2 linked regions of the Alligator mississippiensis genome follow. The main gene of each other region encodes a partner of the protein of the gene in region 2 in a complex. Links are inferred from orthologs where the notes say so. Each region holds a gene or a part of one and is shown on either strand. Other genes may lie near its edges.

What was found. Proteins that work in one complex are often made in the same cells at the same time.
Region 1: NUP153 (region 2) and NUP93 share a complex: the UniProt entries of both Homo sapiens proteins name them as parts of the nuclear pore complex. The link is inferred for Alligator mississippiensis from reciprocal best matches to the Homo sapiens genes NUP153 and NUP93.

What each region holds. Positions count from the first base shown.
Region 1 is NC_081833.1:36,476,619-36,486,650, reverse strand, and holds the start of NUP93 (nuclear pore complex protein Nup93), read right to left. Parts: upstream 4,601-10,032; 5' UTR 4,413-4,600; intron 3,573-4,412; exon of another isoform or gene 3,466-3,572; intron 1-3,465. UniProt on the Homo sapiens protein: Plays a role in the nuclear pore complex (NPC) assembly and/or maintenance. May anchor nucleoporins, but not NUP153 and TPR, to the NPC. During renal development, regulates podocyte migration and proliferation through SMAD4 signaling.
Region 2 is NC_081826.1:130,931,002-130,940,773, forward strand, and holds the start of NUP153 (nuclear pore complex protein Nup153), read right to left. Parts: upstream 4,209-9,772; 5' UTR 4,041-4,208; coding exon 3,957-4,040; intron 1-3,956. UniProt on the Homo sapiens protein: Component of the nuclear pore complex (NPC), a complex required for the trafficking across the nuclear envelope. Functions as a scaffolding element in the nuclear phase of the NPC essential for normal nucleocytoplasmic transport of proteins and mRNAs.

The DNA.
Region 1 (10,032 bases), on a different chromosome or scaffold from region 2:
TGAGCAGAATGATGCCAGATTTTCATGTCTGGCTGAGGAAAGAGCAACAACTGACACCTAAGGGAAAGAAAATGCAGACAAAAGAAATTAAACTAACTTCTGTAAAGCCAGATCGACCCTCGGCTAAAAGCCGAAACTGAAAAGGCTCTTCTGTAAAACAACATTGATAACTTATCAATAGATGCTGCTGCATTAAACTACTATTCCATGTCCAATAAAACTCCATTTTAACAGTTCTCTAACATTTGGAAACTAAAAATAAACATTATATATTGCAGTAGTTGACTGAATTTAAGCCAAAAGGGCACTGGAAGGCAATGACAGGTATGGTTTGTTAACTCCACACTGATTTAAATGATGATTTGCCATTTAAAAAAACGACTAATTCTCCTCAAGACGACAGTGATGCTGCCCAATGAAGAATGTCGTAATTAATGTACTCCAAATATAGCCATGCTGAATATTTTATTGAACAGGCTTCAAAGCTTAAATATTCAAATATGTGAACATCATCCGTTATCTTTCAAATACTGAAAGGTATGTGTCATCTAATTAATTAGCTTTGAGAAATATAGAGCAATTTAATTTTTTTAGCTTATTACTATGAAAGATAATATAACAGATAAAATATCTAAAATATAATAGAAGTACCCACATTTAGAGTTAGACATCAAAACTCAAGGTTAAAAAGACTCCATTACTTATATATTTTTTCAACAAGTCATTGTTTTATAACTGGTGTGTAGAGTGGTCACATTAAACTCTGAATATAGTCTACCAATCTTTTATTAAGGCCATCTACCACTTACAGCTTTGAAGATCTCTCCGAAATGGAAAATGAATATGAAGATATACTATCTACCCTCCTGCATACCAGACCTCTCCAGTACTACTGCAGCAAAGTGAAATTGACAAGTCTGGTTCAGTTTCACCCTTTACATTCAGAAACTCATAAGCAACAATGAAAGAGACAAGAATCAGGTCAATTTGACTCCTCAGCTTCCCTAGGAAAGCTACCAGCAGCAGCACCTATAGAAATTGAAACTAATCATGAGGAGAGAGAGAGAAAGAAAGACAAACCCAAGGATGAGCAAGAAGCTCCTGTGAGAAAAGGAGACTCTAACACTGCTGATTTTCTAGAGGCTTTAGGGGCAGCTAGGAGTAGCAGTATCAAGCCACCTAAAGAAGGTGCAAGGCAGCACTTTGGCAACAAGTCCAACATCTTCTCTCTACTCAGAAGATGGAGAAGCTGCTAAGCTATACAGTAAGGCATGTCCCAAAGCTTTGCTGATGGCTCCTCCCTTTCTCTCAGCTTCTGGAGGTCCCTGTATTTAAAATCCTACAATAAAAATAATACTTACAAAAACAACCATCCATTTCCAAGTTTTCACCAACCACTAGAAATTCTGGCTTTACAACTCCTTGATATAAAAATTCTATAACCTGAACGCTGCAGACTACTTGTTGATTGCGCAAACAAGCTTTTTAGTATTTTTGACTGTCAGCTTGTTTTTATGTTTCTATACAACTTGCAAAGCAACCATGCAGGTTTTCCTCAGGTTTCTCGACCCTTGCCTCTTAAATAGAGGTTTTGCTTGCTTTATGCAGGTTCTGTATGCGCAAATTCACTCTTATCCGCTGAGCTATTTATACCAAAAATTCATTATATACAAGGTAAATTCACTCTTATGTGATCAGTGTGGTGGAAGCCCTCAGACAGCTGCTTTGACGCACACCCAAATATAGTCTCCTGCGTGCACAGCATACCCAAGCAGGGTACAGGACTCGGGGCAAGTCAGCGTTTGCGGGGCCCCAATCCTACTCCAATCCCATGGGCCTCGGACCCAAAGAAGCTGCCACAGTCGTCAGCACCAGCGGTGGTGTGGGGGGTAGCGAGTGGCTGGATGTGCCGCTGCTGCTCCACCCAGCTCTGCAGGGCCCCACAAAGCACAGGGCCTGGGGTGGTCACCCCATTTCACCCCTGCCACAGGGACAGGGCCCTGCCTGTGTGGATCTGTGCTCCTCGCTTGTGGTCTGTGACACGTGCTTCTGCAGTTGCCATCCTTATTATGGTAACATTCACCACCACCCTGTGCAGTTGGCAAGTACCAAAACGGTCTTGTAAAGTGGGGGTCAGTACAATCGAGGTCTTGGAATGTATCCCGATTTGTTACATTGTAAAGTGGGTTCCCTTTGTATGAATTTGAGGTATGCACCGTTTTCCAGGAATGCGTGTACAGCATAAAGCAAAGGAAACCTGTAATAGTGTCACCTGTCAGTTTTGTTACCTCAGAATTCATGCTTTTTCCCCAAACTCCTTTCTATATACATTAAGCACCCAATCCGAGCCCAGACCATTGACATACTAGGCTAACCACTGTTACGTGGAAAGCTACCATTATTTGGAAGGGGGGGGGGGGGGAGACAAAAACTCAACACACTCAGAAATTATAAAGGATGTTACAAAAGAAATGTAGAAATTACTGAGATAGCCTCTCTGCTGGAAAAAAAAAAATATCACACATCCAAAAATACAGGCATTGTGCATGTGACAGAATTACTGAGCCAAGGCCAGTGTTGGGCCAGGGAAGGTAGCCAGCAGCATGGAGTGGTGTGCATCTACCCATCAAGTTTCACTGTGTCAAAAGACTAAGTTTTAACAAAAGAAAACTCCAACCACATTAACAAGAGGTTTGCCTTGCCCATGGAGATTGTAACCCTGGTTGCACTCAAGTCAGCATTTTGTGCTGCAACCCTGTAGAGACCAGGGCTAGAAGACAAATCAGATCCCATCTAAAAAGGTCCAGTAAACCTAGTGTCCCAATCAAGAGAACATACTTGAGGCTACTGCTGGTCAGAAAGGCAGAGAATGCAGAGAACAGAGGAGAGCAAAACCACACCGTACGCATTTCAGTTAGATATTTTTTAACGTGTCTAGGACATTTGTCATATGCCATTTGTTTCCCTATAGTCCTTTTCCCCTGTTGATGGGTTAGTCCAGTCAAAGCCTAAAAGGAGCAAATGGGAAATGGCCGGTAGTCAGCACAAAGAGATAGTGATGGTTTCTTAGTCTGAAGTCAAGTAGCGGGCTGGGGAGAGCTGTACTTTGCAGACCAGTGAAATCCAAGGGAAAGTTAAGAGCGGGCACTTTCCGAGGGGGCTGGAGCCTAACGCAGGGGCCTGGCCGCTGAAGAGGCCGAGAACCCGCACTAGAGACCAGGCAGGGGAGGCCCCAGAGGGCAGGGCGCAGGCGGCTGCAGGCGCCCACACAAGCCGGGAAGCTCGTGCTCGGGGCAGACCCGCCCGGCGCGCTGACAAGCCCGGGGCCCGGGAGCTCCGCCCGGGCGAGCACGAGCCGCCGGACAGGGACTCACTGAGGGCCGCGCACGTGGCCCCGGGGGGAGGCCGCAGAGGCCACAGCCGCCGCCGCCGCCGTCCCGCACGCGCCGGCCCGGCGCCACTTACCGGTGTCCTTCCGCCGCGGGTGCCCACTCCGCGCCGCACGCGCTGATTGGAGCAGCCACCAAGCTCCCAGCAGCCCCCACGCCAAAACTTTATTGAGGCGCTGGCAGGAGACACGGGCAGTAGGGGCGGGGTGTCCCCTGGCGGTGGCCCTGGGGTTGCTTGGCCCGGCCCTGCCCTGCCCCGCCCCGCCCTGCCCCCGACACCCGGGCGGGGGCGGGAGGAGGTGGATGGAGGCCTGTACGGGTCACAGGCCTCATTTCATCTCCTCAGGCCAGGGCTCGATCAGGGTGCGCACCAAGGCTGCTCTCACGGCCTCCGCCTTGGGCTGTTCTGGGGCGAGCAACTCTGATGTGCGGCTGCCCGGGAGGGCGCTGCTCTTCCTCCTGGCTGGTTTCCCTGTTGGAGGGCTGTACCGGCCTAGCACGGAGCCTCCCAGTGAGGGATAACTTGCAGGTTGCTGTGGCCGACTTTCCCTCTTGGGGATCTCAGCCTAACAGGCTACAGTCACCTCTAGTTTTATAGATCTTCTGCGGGGAGATTCAAATGTAATATCATCGGATGGGCATGCCCTGATTTCCACAGTAAAATCCACTCGGAGGAGTGAGTGGGATCAAATGCCCTTCACCCTTCAAACTCTCTAAAAACAGAATTTAAAGCCTGAGGGCCAGGCATAGTAACTGTCTTATGATCTCTCTTCCCCCCAGTGTATTCACTATACTTCCTCCTACCACGGGCACATCCTGATCAGCAGCAGATTCCAATCTCCCCCTGCCCTGCACCTCCACCCCCGATTGCATTTTAGTGGCATAAGCTGGAGCCAAAGGGTAAAGAGGTGAAGATACTGCTCCTTCAGAGGCTATTAAGTGCTTTGGTTGAAAGATCAGTAGCAATATTTAAAAGGCAGCCGGAGAACACTTCTCCCTCCCTCCTGCCTAGTAGTTTCTTACCTTGCCATCTGGATTTGTTTCATGCTGTCTGCCTTGCTGGTGACATGGAGCTGCGTGATCGTCTGGTGTCTGACATTCATAATGCCAACATCTGACATTGGTCCTTCAAGGACGCTGGATCCAGCATTCTAGTTTAAAATGCCAGCTGTCTCCAGTGAGGAGAAAGCAGAGAGAGAGGATTTTTTTTCTCTCCCCTTCTTTCTTTTCTCTACAATTTTTTTAAAGATTTTGCTACGCACAGTGGTGAGTTGAAAAATTACAGGAGACACAAGGCACTTACAGAGGTGCCCTGTCCTTGGACAGAAAACAACTGTCCTTCCAAACAACTTGATAAGGGTGGGAGGCTGCTGGCTTGACTATTTGTTTTAACAGATCATATTTCCTGCTCAATTCACCCAAGACCCTAGGCCTTGAGTATGAATCAGATTGTCACAGATTTGCAAAGTGAAGGGGTGGATGCAAAACTTCTCTCCCTTTGTATTCCAGTCTAGGAGCCAGTAAATGATCTAAACCAGGGGTGGACGATCCCCGGCACGGGTGCCAGAACATGGCATGCAAAGGCATTTTGCTTGGCACACGCACCTTGGGGCAGACGGTGGAGAGTGGACCAGGCCTGCACTGCCACAACAAGTATTTGGCCCCTTGCAGCCCCTGCCATCCACCCCCGGCATGCCAACATCTTACAAGTCAAGGTTGTGGGTGTTTTTGGCACTCTGCTCAAAAACATTGCTGACCCCTGATCTAGACTCTGCAAGGTAAAGAGCATCCATAACTCAGAAAAATGCTGATTTGAATTAAAGGGTGTTATTACACATGCTCCAGGGGGGGAAGGGGGGGTATTTAGAGCAGCTCAGAGAGCCACTCTAATTGAAGTGCCCTCAGTGTCTTGTGTAATCAATGTCCCATGCTTCAAAATGGCAGTAGGAGCACTAACTGAAGCTTACTGAACAAGCTTTAGTTAAAGGGCCCCCACCACCATCTTAAAGCATGGGGACGCTGAATACATGAGACATGCAGGCTGCTGGAGTGCATTAATTAGCACACTCCAGCAGACTTGATTAATTGAGTCTGCTCCAACATGCTGTAATTACAGAGCACCCTTCCTGTACATCTACAGGCACCCAAACACATTCAGTATTTTTTGCAAAGGCCACAAAAGGTCTTGCATGATTGGGACCTGTGAGTGCAATCTATGCTCCAGGTTAGAGCCAAAAATTACCCTTCCCTAAAATAAGGATGAGATAAGGGCAAGGATTTGATTCAACCCCTTCTGCACCAGTCAGCAGAGACAGCCCTGCATGTAGGCATTGCATGCATTCCCACAGGTTCTGTGTCTTCTCAATTCCAAGTCAGTAATGAAGCCTTCACAGCGGGAGCACTTCCTGTTCTTTATTCCTTGCTTCCAGAATCTCTTTACCATAGGATCCCTTCCCCTTCAGCAGAGAATGAAGTCCCATGGCTTTATTTAACAAACCTATGGAGCCTGTATGATTCCAAAATAATGAATCAGAAAGATTATAGTTTCATAGTTGGGAGGGTTGGAAGGGACCTGAGCAGCTCATCAAGTCCAACCCCCTGCCATGGGCAGGAAAGAATGCTGGGGTCAAACGACCCCGGCTAGGTGATTATCCAGCCTCCTTTTGAAGACCCCCAGGGTAGAAGCAAGCACCACTTCCCTTGGAAGTTGGTTCCAGAACCTAGTACCCTGACAGTGAAGTAGCACCTCCTGATGTCTAGTCTGAATCTACTTTCAGTCAGCTTAAGGTCTTTGTTCCTTGTTATTCCCGGTAGTGCTTGGGGGAACAGGGACTCTCCCATTGCCTGCTGGTCTCCCTTGGCCAGTTTATAGATGGCCACCAGATCCCCTTTCAGCCCTCTCTTGTGGAGGCTGAACATGTTCAGGTCCCATAGCCTCTCCTCATAGGGCCTGCCCTGCAGATCCCTGATCATGTGGGTGGCCTTCCTCTGGACCCTCTCGATGCTGTCCACATCCCTCCTGAAGTGTGGCGCTCAGAACTGGACACAGTACTCCAGCTGCAGCCTGACCAGTGTCGCATAGAGGGGAGGATCACCTCCTTGGACCTGCTCATGATACATCTGTGGATGCATGACAAGGTGCGGTTAGCCTTACTGACCGCATCCTCACATTGGTGGCCCACATGCATCTTGGACTCAACAGTGACTCCAAGATCCTTTTCTGCCTCTGTGCTGATGAGAAGGGAGTTCCCCAGCTTGTAGGCATGCTGCTGGTTCTTCCCTGCTAGGTGCAGTACCTTGCACTTGTCAGTATTGAAACCCATCCTGTTCTCATCTGCTCACCCCTGTAACCTGTCCAGAGATAGTTGTAGCCTGTCCCTCTCCTCTAGCATGCCCACTTCTCCCCACATCTTAGTGTCATCTGCGAATTTGAACAAGGTGCTTTTCACCCCCTCCTCCAAGTCACTGATGAAGATATTGAACAGTGCAGGCCCGAGGACCGAGCCCTGGGGAACCCCACTGCCCACATCCCTCCAGGATGAAAATGACCCATCCACCACCACTCCCTCCAGCCAAATTGTGACCCATCTGACTGTGCAGGCATCAGCACCACAGTCACCTAATTTTTTAATGAGAATGGGGTGAGAGACAGTGTCAAAGGCCTTCCTAAAGTTTATAAAGACCTGCGTCCAAGGATTTTGTGACCTGGTTGTAGAAGGCAACCAGGTTGGTCTGACAGGACCTGCCTCTAATGAACCCGTGTTGATTGCCCCTAAGCATAATCTCCCCTGCTGGCCCCTCACAGATGTGTTCCTGGATAATTTTTCAAAGAGCTTTCCCAGGACCAAGGTAAGACTAACTGGCCTATAGTTTCCTGGGTCCTCCCTTTCTCTCTTTTTTGAAAATGGGAACCACATTGGCCCTTTTCCAGTCCTCTGGCACCTTGCCAGAGCACCACGAGTGCTTGTCAAGCTGTGCCAGGGGTCCCGCAATGATCTCTGCCAATTCCCTCGGCAGTCTGAGGTGGAGATTGTCAGGACCTGCTGATTTGAACACATCTAGTCCCACCAGAAGTTCCCTGACTAGGTCCTCGATGAACCTGGGTCTGGCTGCACCTCCCTTGGGTCTGTCCAGGATCCCGGTGGAGGGGATAACCTGGTCCCTGCTCAGAAAAATAGAGGAAAAGAATGTGTTAAAGAGGTTAGCTTTGTTGTCTGGTGTGACCACCAGATTTCCAAGCACATCCTGCAGAGGTCCCACGTTACCTGGTAACTTCTTTTTACCCGCTATGTATTTAAAAAAGGACTTCTTGCTATTTTTGATCCGGGTCACTAGTCCCAGTTCCGTCTCCGCCTTAGCCTTCCTAACAGCCCCCCGACAATCTCGAACAATGGAGGTATAATCCTCCTTGGTGATGACCCCTCCCTTCCATTGGGTGTATGCCTCCTTTTTAGCTTTGAGATGTTCCTAGATGCTTTTGGTGAGCCATGGGGGCTTTTGAGCACTCTTGCCCCCTTTGAGCTGCTTTGGGATTGTCACCCTTTGGGCTTGGAAGATAGTCTCCTTAAGGAACAACCACTCTTCTTAGATTCCCAAATCCCCTCCCCTCCGGGACCTCTGTGCCTCCCCGACTAGTCTCCTTACATCATCGAAATCTGCCCTCCTGAAGTCCAGGGCTGCTGCCTTGCTGCAGGCCTTTGACACCCTGCGCTGGATGGTGAATTCCAGCAGACAATGATCGCTATCACCCAGGTGATTGAGCACCCGGCAGTCACCTCACCAGGTCATCACCTGTGGCCAGGTCCAGGTCCAATAAGGCATTTCACCTGGTGAGACTGTGCACCTCCTGGGTTTGATGGAGGTCCTGTAACTCAGCTAGGAACCTACGTGAGCGGTCAGACCTGGCTGGCTGCTCTTCCCAGCAGATGTCCAGATAGTTTAGGTCACCCATGATGACCACGTTCCTTGACTTAACTGCCTCCACAAGCTGATCTGAGAATTCCCAGTCTAGCTCTTCCCCCTGGTTGGGTGGTCTGTAGTAGACCCCCACCATTAAGTCCCTTTTCCCCCCGACCCCCTTGTATTCTGACCCAGAGCACTTCAGTCTGCCCCTCCAATGACCCAGTGCTGTTTGCTGAGGATGTGTATTGCTCTTTGATGTACAGCACCACAGCCTGACTTTTCCTCCCCATTCTAACCTGCCTGTACAGCCTATAGCCCTTGATGTTTACCACCCAGTCGTGCATTGGATCTCAGTAAGTTTCAGTAAGTCCCACTATGTCTGGGTTTGTGTTAGCTAGCAGGAGGGCAAGTTCCTCCTGCTTGTTCCCCATACTACTATAGCAGAAAGCCCCCTTTTCCTCTTGCTTGCATTTGCTCTCTCCTTTTTGGATATGTTTCTCTTCTTCTACCTTTTCTTCCTTTCTCTTTCTTTCGCTATAAGATAAGGAATTGTGTTTTAAAGTTTGTATGTGTGTATTTTGTATCTCTCCTTGTATTTTGGTATTTTTATCTATTTGTGTGCCATGGCATTACTCTTGTAGCTTATATTTTATACTCCTCACCTTTTAACTAAAAGTGTTTAGTTTCAGAAGTAAGTTATACATTGTAACAATGTTAACAAGGGCAGGAATCAAACTGGGCTTCCCTGTATCAGGCGGACCCCTGAAAGAGTGAGTCAATCAGTGATTGAATGTGTAACACAGTAGCAGGCTTCAGTAACTAAAATCAATTAACACCTAGGAAAACCACAGATCAACCAAGGGAGGAAATCAATAGGAGACAACGTAGCAACCAGGAATTCTCTAAACTTCACTGTTCAAGGGCTAGAAGCCCCCGTCTGAGTTAATCAACACCGGGGACCAACTTTTGGGACTAAATATCTCCAGATAGACCGCTCCCAGAGCCCTACTCATGACAACAGTAAATTAATCAAAATTCATCAACGGACTCCCAAACCTGCATGTATATGCGGACAACCCCTGAGGCTGACAGATGCCATCCAGTAGCCACCAAGGGGGAAGTCCCACGAGGGTCAATGACCCCTGGATTGGGCAAACCTGAAAACTGGGGAGTCACTGAAGTCCGCCAAGGACAGATAAAAAGCAGTGAAAAGTGACGCTCAGGGGTGCCCTCTTGATCTCCAACTTGACCAGCACCCAACCTGTCCAGCCAGAAGGACCAGCCGGCGACCCCCTTCTGGAGGATAACACCACACTGGAAGAAGCCTCGACTGGCCATCGACGGCAGACTCCAGCACCTGTGGGATAAGTATACCCAACTCTTGTAACTCGCTACTGTGTGTGTGCATGTGTGTGCGTGTGTGTGTCTGTGGGTGGGGACCAGCCCCAAGGTTTATGATTTGACTTCATTACAGTGTTTCAATCCGCCTAATAAACCAGACTTTTAAGGATCCCGAGTTGGACATTTTTAGACAACACTACGAGCATTAGTGTAGAGCAGGCTTGCCCAACATATGGCCCGCGGGCCACCATGCGGCCCGCCAAGCCATTTTATCGGGCCCGTGGCAGCAGCAGTGCCACCACCATGGAGCACAGGGCCACGGTGGTGGCGGAGCGTGGGGCCAGAGCGGCAGCGGAGCATGGGGCTGCCGCCGCAGGGCAGCGGCACAGAGTGCAGAGCC
Region 2 (9,772 bases):
GGGCCCCAAGGACCACACAGGGAGTTTTGATGAGCTGTTGTGGGCTGGGTCAGCACCCCCTCCTCTACCATCAACTCATCAAAACTCCTTATGAGGCTTTGGCCAGGCAGGGAGCAGTGTTTGGGAGCTAGATGCATAGGAAAGGCTGATGCTTCCTGAACTGCGGGGGGGCAGGTATGGAGGGGCATAAGCATGAGGGGGGAAGGCCAGGGGAGGCAGCAGAGCTCCCTTAGGGGATGCAGCTTCAACTGCCCCTGCAGCGCTCTGTATGGGGCTCAACACCCCCCCCACCCAGGGCAGCCCACACCATGCTCCTCTACACACCCACCAGCCCAGCCTTGGTCATGGCCCCAGCTAGCATGCAGCTTCTGGCAGGGCTGCTCCCAGTGTGGCTGTAGCTGGCCAGGTGTTACTCTGCTCCCCTCACCCCCAGCCAGATCTGCCTGGCTGAAGCTTCCTCCCACCTGCCCGGAGCAGTAGGAACAACTGCTGCTGGAAGCAAGGGGAGCAGAGCAGTACCCTGAGGGCTGCAGCCATACTGGGAACAGCCCTGCTGGGCCCAGGCCGGCACAAATGAGCTTCAGCAAGTTGCCTCCAACTCCACCTCCTGGCCAACTTCCACACACTCTGCCTGCCCACAGTTGACAGCTCATCACACCAGGTGGCCAAAGCAGGTGAAAGGCAGCCAGGAGCTGGAGGCAGAGCCCTGCGCACTGAGGCAGAAGCACCCCCTGCCCAGAGTGTTGCAGCAGGGGTGAAAGGAGGAGCCACAGCTGGAGGCAAAAGCAGAGCAGCCCTATTGGCCTGGGCCCTGGCCAGCACCCATAGCTTCTGGTGGGGCTATTTCCAGAGCAGTGGTAGCCAACTGGGTGCTTCTCTGCTCCCCTTGCCTTCAGCAGCAGCTTAGTCCTCCTGCTCCTACTGTGCCACTCCAGGTGGGCAATCAGGTAGGGAGGCGGAAGCTTCAGCTGGGCAGCTCCAGCTGGAGATGAGGAGAGCAGAGCAGCACTGAGAACACCCCCATTGGAAGCTGCGTGCCCAGGCACAAGTTGGGACCCAGGCATGAGCGGGTGGAACTTGGCCCCATGTGGAGCACTATGGGGGCAGCCGTAGGCTGGATCTGGCCCATGAGCCGTATTTTGCCCACCCCTGCTCTAGAATATCATGCTCTGTAAGACAGGAGATATGGGTCTAAATCCTCTCAGGCAGAAGAGGAAACTCACTGAGGCCCCATATTCTGAGCAAGTGCAAAATCATTAAGCTTTCACAAAACAGAGCAAACAACTCCTTGATCAGACCTGAGACATCCCACTGGCTCAACCCCCTTCCTCCAGCTACCTCTAAAGCTGCCAATGTATCCTACAGGTCAGGGGTAGACAATCTTTTCCAGCCACAGGCTGGAATGACCCAACCCTGGCTGGGAGATAGGTGGGCAGCCAAAGCCTCACATCCTGCTATATGATGTCTGATTCCACTGGTAACTGCTAGGTATGCTTGTAGAATATCTACTGGACTAAATCCCTTTAAAGACTTAGCTGGATCAATGCCTACTTTTTAGTTTCTGATTGGGGAATAAGTCTGAACTAGGTTTTGAAAAGACTGAGTAGGTTAGCACCAAGGTACTTCTGGGTACATGCAGAAATAGAAATTTCAGGCAAAAAAAAAAAAAAAAAAAAAGAAGGAATTTTAAGGTTACAGACTGCAGCATGTATTGAAGAGAGATGCCTCAAGAGGCAGGTCTGATTCAGAAGGTTTTAGGATTGCAATTTTTTTGACCCGGGTGCCTAAATTCTTTCAAAGGTCATTAAAAAAATTTAATCTAAAGGCCAACAATTTAAACTTTATTGAGGGCTCCTTGCAAGGTACATTTTCCAATGGAGGCTGTCCCTAGTGGGATCTACTCTGACTGGACATCAGCTCTCAGTCATGGCTACAAGCAGAAAACTAGACTGCACATGTAGGCATACGTGCAGATTAGCAAACTACCACACAGCAAGGACACAGGACTCAACTGTTTTGCTTTTCAAATCTTCTCATTTAATAGATTATGGAGGGCCACAGGGATCACACTGGAAGGTTGCATGTCTTGGGCCCTAGTCTAGACTATTAGCACACATCGGCAAAATTTAAGCCTACTACTTAAAATTAGCTGCCCAGAAATAAATATGCAGAATGTTCTGCAAGTTTGCAAGCTCAACCTGGAAAAGTGCTTTTTGAAATATCCAACAAAACATGCACAATTTAATAAACCAATGAGACAATGGAATTTAAAATTATTACAATACAGAAAAGAAACTTTCCTCAGATATTTTACCGTATTTTACCGTAAATTTGATTGGTATATTTTGGTTTCAGTATCTATCTTTACAGCTTTATCATTCTTCAACTAGGTCTCATCATCATGCACATTACCTGATTTTTCAGTTCTGCTTCACCTTTTGCAAAAGTATGTCAATACTTGATCTGAAAGAGTAGCAACTTGCTTTCAACAGTTAGATGTCTGTGTCATTAGGCTGCACCAGAATTTCCGAGACAAATGCACATATCACGCTGTATAAAACAATATTGTGCTTAAGGCTGTACACAAATTACAACTCCCTGTTAATGATTTTGAGAGGAAATATGTCATTGTATATATATCTGTGCGTGTCTGCCTCTGAGCATATATCAACATCTATCTAGATCAGGGGTTTTTAAACTTCTTAGACTCAAGGCACTCCATGATAAACTAAGGCACCCCTTGGAAAATGTCATCTCTTAGTTTTCACTTATTTTTTGACTACGGAAAATTAACAGAGCAACTCTTCAGTTGCAAGGAACTCAGAAAGACTACAACAGGTCAGAATGGTTTTGATTCTGTGGATTATATGAAGGTGTACTTTGTGAATCATGGCTGCATACCTAGCATTTCCAACACTGCATGGCACCCTGCAGCACCCTAGAAAGGATCTCAAGGCACCCCAGGATACCATGGCACCCTCAGTGAAGGTACACCCCCCCAACCTGTATCTACACACATACACGCAAATCCTCATTTACATGGTCTTCTAGCTGAAGTTACTAATTAAAAAAAGCAGTAACTTAGACTGTTGCCTTCAACACTTCCCTTAAGTGTTCCCAAAGTGATACTAGCAAAGTACACAGGGGCACGGCTTATGCAAGCCACGGGCACATCTCAAACAGGTGGCAAGCTGAGGCATTAACAGGGCAGACGCCTTCCCTCCTGCCTGCCTCCAGCAGCTTGGGCTATGCACCCAAGACAGCTCCCTGGGGGAAGAGCAGTGATTTGCTAACAAAAACTCATTCTCTCTCCACCCAGGGAGGCAAGGCACAGAAGGGGAAGGCAGGAGAGCAGTTTATGAAGCAAGATTTCCCGCTCCCCCTTCATATTATATCACACCCAGGATGTTCCAGACAAAAGCCACGTGTAGGGGACCACTCTTGAAAAACTTCAGAGGAAAGGGGCAGGGAAGGAGGCTGTGATGCAGAAGCCCTCAGTGGAAGCACCTGGGGGGGGGGGGGAGGAGTGGGGGGCTTTGTAAACTGGACTGAGATGGGCAGAAACAAGGGTTCAAAGCAGCAAAAATCTGAAACATCAATGGAACAAGATAAAAAAAAAAGTCAGGAAAAAAGTCATCAGGAAAAAATATACTGCACCCCTCACAAGCACACACAACATGCAATCCCCCCATATCCTCCTACCACAGGCAGGGCTGGAAAGCCCCTCTGGCCCAACCACCCAGCCATGTCCATCCCTTCAGCTATTCCCACAACTGGGAGCCCCCCACCATGGGACACCCCCCGCCTCAAACGGGGCTGCGGGCAGGAAGGGGTTAACCCCCCATTTTCCCCCCCGGGGCGCAACACCCGCCAACGGCCGCGCCCGCCACGCGGCCCCGCCCGGCGCGGTGGCTCCCACGTGGGCCCGGGGCCGCACCCGCCCGCAGGCCCCTCACCTGCTTGCCCCGTGAGTAGGGCGTGGAGGCGCCCAGGTGGTAGCGCCGCGTCCGGATCTTGCCGCCACCGCTGCCCGAAGCCATGATGGGCCCCGGGCCCTTCCCCGGGTCCCGCGCGCCGTCCCTCCCCCCGCGGCCCGGCCGCTCCCCGGCCCCGCCCCTCTGTGCCGTCACGGGCTCTGCGGAGCGGCGCCCCCGCCGGCGCGCGGCCCGTCTCGCGGCCTCCCAGGCCTCACGCGCCGCCGGTTCAGTCCCGCCCGCCCGCGCCGCGTCCGAGTCCGCACACCCGTCCCCCCCCCCCCACCCGCCCCGTCCGGCCCAGCAGCCAACCACGCGAGCGCCCGCCCGGGCGGCGGAGCATCACTAGCCCGCGCCCTGTCCCTTGCGTCATCCGACTGGGCGCCTTACCCGGCAGCCCTCGCGCTCCGCCCCGAGGCCTCCTGGGAAGGGTAGTTCTCGCGCGAGTGGGGGGTGCGGAAGGACAGAGCAGAGCGGAAAAGGAGAGGGAGGGAAGGCGGGAGCGCCAGATCGAGGCTGTGACGTAACCCCATCGCCGCGCCCTCAAGCCGTAGCTCGGTGATTCACTGGGGCTTAATTACCGTAATGATCGTATTTGTGGCGCAATTTCAACCCTTGCACGCTGTACCCCTAATAGATAATACTAAAAGTTGTCAAAATGGGCGCTCATTCTCGGGGAAGCTCATTGGTGCAGCATATGCAAAAAAACACCCCAGGTCACTCTCTGGAGGGTCTTAACCAAATTTCGGGTTTGCTGTCATCACTTTCTCCTGACAGCTTGCCTCGGAATGAAGAAAGGCTTCAACTTGGATGCCCCAGTTCTCCCTCACTAGAGGTTACAGGTAGCAATAAAAAAGTAAATGAGGCTGATTCGCATACTTATTTGCATACTTTTTTCAGTGTCCAATAGTTTTGCAGAAAATATGAAATTATGGAAATTATTGTATTTAAGACCTAGCAACACTGCCTCAGAGGAGCCTCACAAAGTTGTAGAGAAGTGGGGCTGGAAGCAGCCTCCAGAGGTCTAGTCAACCCCCTGCCTGAGGCAGGATAAGCCCTCGACAGACCAACCCCTACAGCCCTCCTCTAACCTCTATGAAAGACCAGGGTTTGAATTGCACTTTGACTCTTGGGGGAGCGGTCTACAAAAAAAGTTGGGCTGCCCATCATGATGCCCTAATAAAATCCCCTAAAATCTAAAATCTACCCTGGAGATCTTCAAAAGGAGACTGGATGCTCACCTTGCAGGGATTATTTGACCCCAGCAGTCTTTCCTGCCCAGAGCAGGGGGCTGGACCCAATGATCTCATACGATCCCTTTCAGCCCTAAACTTCTGTGAATCTGTACAATTCTGACACTCCCTTCCTGGTTATGATTTTCAAATCTTACAGGAGGGCTCTCATCTCTTAAGCAAGGGGGGGGCTCAACCTCCCCTCACCCCCAGCTTCCCTGTAATTTAAACCCTTCGAAAGACTTACCCTCAGCCCTGGCATAACAAGGACCTCACACCCGAAACCTGCTGCAGGACAGTGGAGTTCTTCAGCATCAGGGAAACAAAAGGCTCTATATATGTTTACAGCCTTTATATAGAGAGTTTTTGTTTCCCTCATGCTGAGAAACACCACTGTCCTGCAGCAGGTTCAGGTGTGAGGTCTGTGTTGTGTCAGGGTTGAGGGTAGTCATTATATATATGTTCGTATAAAAATTTAAACCACAGTTGATGGTAGTCTTACACACACACACCATTTTAAAGACAGTCTCAAAAGAACTTTCCCGGGCCTGATTTCTGCATTGGGCAACAGCTATGGGTGGATCTAGGATTCTGAAAAGGGGAGGTGCACATGGTACGGTGCATCATCACAGTTTTGCCCAGTGAAAAAGATGCTCGAAGCTCTCTTGATAGATATTAGCCTAGAGCTCTAGTATTCAAGTTAAGATTGAAGCCAAAAAAAGAAAAAGAACAACATGCATTGGAATGTGCATGAATTTACTCAATTACATCAACTAACGAGGCAAAAAATAACCCAATGTTGTTTTGTTTGTCTTGGAGTCATTTTAGTTAAAGGCATGTCTCTCTTTCAGATCCCTAAAACAAAACCAAGCCATCTTGAGCATCTAGGCACAGCACATGTGCCAGAGCATGACATGTGAAGGCATTTTGCTTGGCACACATGCATTGGGACAGACAGCGGGGGAGCCACAAGGGGCCCAATCTTTGTTGTGGCAGTACAGCCCCGGCCCCTTCCCTGCTGCCCACCCTGAAGTGCACATACACCCACCACTGGCAATGAGCCAGGCCAGGGTTCCAATGACCCTAGTTCAGCTTTTTGCAGCCTCCTTGCAACCTGCCGCAAAGAGCCCAGGCTCCTGCCCAGAGCTGGGGCCTGCTGTGGCAGACAGCCAGGAGTCTGTAAACAGCTGCACTGGGATCCACAAAGCCTAGGCCCAGCTTGTTGCTAGCAGCGAGTGCACTTGGGCCTCAGGGCAGATGGCAGAGAAGGGGCTAGGGCTGTACTACCACAACAAGGATCAGGCCCCTTTTGTCTGCCTCTGGCACATCTTACAAGTCAAGGTTGTAGGTGTTTTTGGCACTCTACCCAAAAATGTTACCAACTCCTAATCTAGACAGTTCCCCCAAGTGCTCCACTGAAAGTTAATTTCTACACTTGAGCTAACATTCACTTGAGTTTGTGTTCCTACACCTGAAAACCACTGCTGGACTCTGAAATGGGAGCTGTGAGACTAAAAGCAGCTAGTAGCAGCATGGTAGAAGTGAGAGCTGGACGAAGGGAACCATTAAAGACTATTTTAATGGAAAGTTTAGAAGGAATTGAGCAAATTCTAATGAGCCATTAAGTCAATGGACTCCCTCACTGCTGCCTGAATAGAAATGCTGGCTTTTAACTTTGGATGGACTAGAAATCAAAGCAGGGTACGAGTGTACCAGTGCACCGCCCTCATCCCCAGCTGGCATGCACTAACCTTAGGTTACACATGCACAGACCTTAGCAGATCTCTCTCACTCCTTTTGTTTCCCCCCCCCCCCCCCAACCAATCCTCAACTTGCTTGTGGGTGGGGAGGGGCCTCAGGGAAAATTCCATAGGAAAGCAGGACCAAGGACAGTGGTGGTTTGATTGCTCAGGTGAGAAGCTGGTGTCTTTTTATTTTTGTTTTTTTAAATGAAAGACCGAGTTCAAGCAGGAAGTGTAGCTTAAAGTTTTCCCTCCAGCCTCTTCTTGCAAAAAAACAAACTTTTTCCAAAAACCTCCCTTCAGCATACCAAGTCGGTCTGTGCAAAGCGGCTAGTATTCGCTTTGGATTCAGCTGATTCGGGGGGGACAGCGATTCGATTTGGTGATTCGAAACACTGTCCCTAATTGATTTGGCTCCCGCCAAATGAGCCGAATCTCCGAATCACACAGGCCCCATCCCCTGCCCGCTCTCAATGGCTGCCCCGCCCAGCTCCTGGCTCTTTGGAAAGAAAAAAAAGAAAAGAAAAAAAGCCTAGCACTCACCAGCTGCTGCCAGGCACTGCCCCATGCTGCATGCGGGAGGGGGGTGGGAAGCCCTCTGTCATGAGCCCACCCCTGGCTGCTCTCCCAGTCCCTCCGTGGCTGCCCTGCCTGCCGCAGTTCCTGGCCCTTTAAAAGACAACCAACCAAGCAACCTACCCACCCTGCTCTCCAGGTCCTGCCTGGCAGGGGGCAATCCCCACTGCCCCCCCCCCCACTTTGTGGGGCTTTTCCACAAGCCCCCAGAAGCAGCAAGGCCACTGCAGGAGCCAGCGAGTCCAGGGTAGGTTATTTGTTTATAGGGCTGGGAGCTTGGGTGGGCAGGGGTCAGGGGTTTGTGGCAGAGCACCCCCCATGCAGCAGAGGGCAGTGGGGGGGCAGCAGGGATTGTTGCCCACCTGGCAGCACCCAGTGAGTAGGAGCTTTTTTTTTTAGAAACTGAGAGCTGGGGTGGGCGGAGCAGCCATGGGGAGGTGGGAAGGGAATAGGGGCTGGCAGGGGTTCCTCTATAGTCCTCTTCTCCAGCCTTCCCTCCCCCACCCCGTACTTACCAGCATGGAGTCTGGGTTCAGCTCCCTGAAGCAACCAGCAGGGACTGCCAGAAATCACTGAAGTTCTCCAAAGTGATTCAGAGAGCTTCAAATAGATTCAGACCTTTTAACTAGTCCCCTGATTTGATTCAGAGTCAGAGATTCAACCACTAGAAAAAAAACAAAAAAAAAAAACTGGGCCAAATCTCCTCCGAACCAAATCAGCACCCAAAGCTTCACCCAGCCCTAATACCAAGTGATTTGAGACAGTTGTCTGGAGGGAAAGAGGTGGATTAAGATGAAAGATTTGGAAAGGAACGTAGGAAGATAGATGACCGAGTCCAGCAGTGATGCTTGTTACGCAAGACTAGGATTCTGTTACAACTCGTGTTGTTATAATCAGTAAGTAACAACAGTTTCAGGTTCATTTATTTTGTGGCAGCTGGCAACAAGACACAGAACTGGCCTTAAGTGAAGCAGTCATGTTTCCATCACACATTGGGAAAATTAGAAGAAAATTTAATTTTCAATACATAAAGATAAGTTCCTGTAGTGAGCCATTCTATTTTGTTCACAGCACTAGTCTGCTTCTGGCCCTTACTGAGTAGGCCTGTGTGAAGCAGCTAGTATTCACTTTGGATTCAGCTGATTCTAGGGACAGCGATTAGATTTGGCTATCTGTATTACTGTCCCGAATTGATTCAGCTGCTGCCGAATCTCTGAATCATCCAGGCCAGACCCCATCCCCCACCCACTCTCCCAGCCCAGCAATGGATGCACCACCCACCCTACTCCTCTTTAGAAAAAAGCCCTGGTACTCAACCAGGTGCTGCTGGGGGTGAGTGGGGGGGGAGGGCAGGGAAGAGAAGTGATAGCTGCTGCCCCCCCACTGAATGGGGGGGCTCTGCACAAGCCCCCCAACCCCCCTTGCTCCCCCAGTCCCCCCCACCTGGGCCAGCTCTAGCCCTTTAAGAAAAAACAACAAAAAAAAAAAAAGTCAGAGACAGCCTTGCATTCTGGCTCCTGCTGGCAGGGGGGTGATCCTCACTGCCCTGCAGGGATCTCTATGTGAGCACCCCAAAGCTTAAGGCCAGTTCAGGAGCCGGGAATCCCAGGGTTTGTTTTTTTCTTAAAAAGGGCCAGAGCTAGCCTGGGCAGGGCACCAATGTGGCGGGGGCTTGTACAGAGCCCCCCCCATGCAGCATAGGGCAGCAGGCAGCACCCTATGCCCAGCAGCACCTGGTAAGCACCGGGGTTTTTTGTTTTTAAAAAAAACTGGGAGCTGGGGCAGGCAGGGGACCCTATGGTCCTCTCCCCCCCCTGCTACTTACCAGCTCTGAGGCTGCTGCAGCTCCCTGGGACTGTCTGAATCAAAGCTCTCAGAATCTTTTCCAAGATTCAGAGAGCTTTGGATTAATTCAGACCTCTCAATTGGTCCCGATTCAATATGGATTCAGAGATTTGGCCACCAAAGAAAAAAAAAAAATCATGCCAAACTGAGTCACTACCTGAAGTGTTGCACAGCTCTATTACAGAGTAGCTGTAGCGCTTCACTATTTCCCCAAGTAAAGAAAAGTAATGTTTCAAGCTTGGATGCATAAACTCCACAAGTCAGTCACAGGGAGAGATTCTGTCTGGCTGTTAAGGATAAACAGCAGCAAGGGAGGTAGTGGTGAGGGAAAAAAAGAAATCAAGTGGACTGGCTTTTGGTATGTGCAGCATTAAGCTGAAGTGAGTGCCTTTTTCCAAATTTA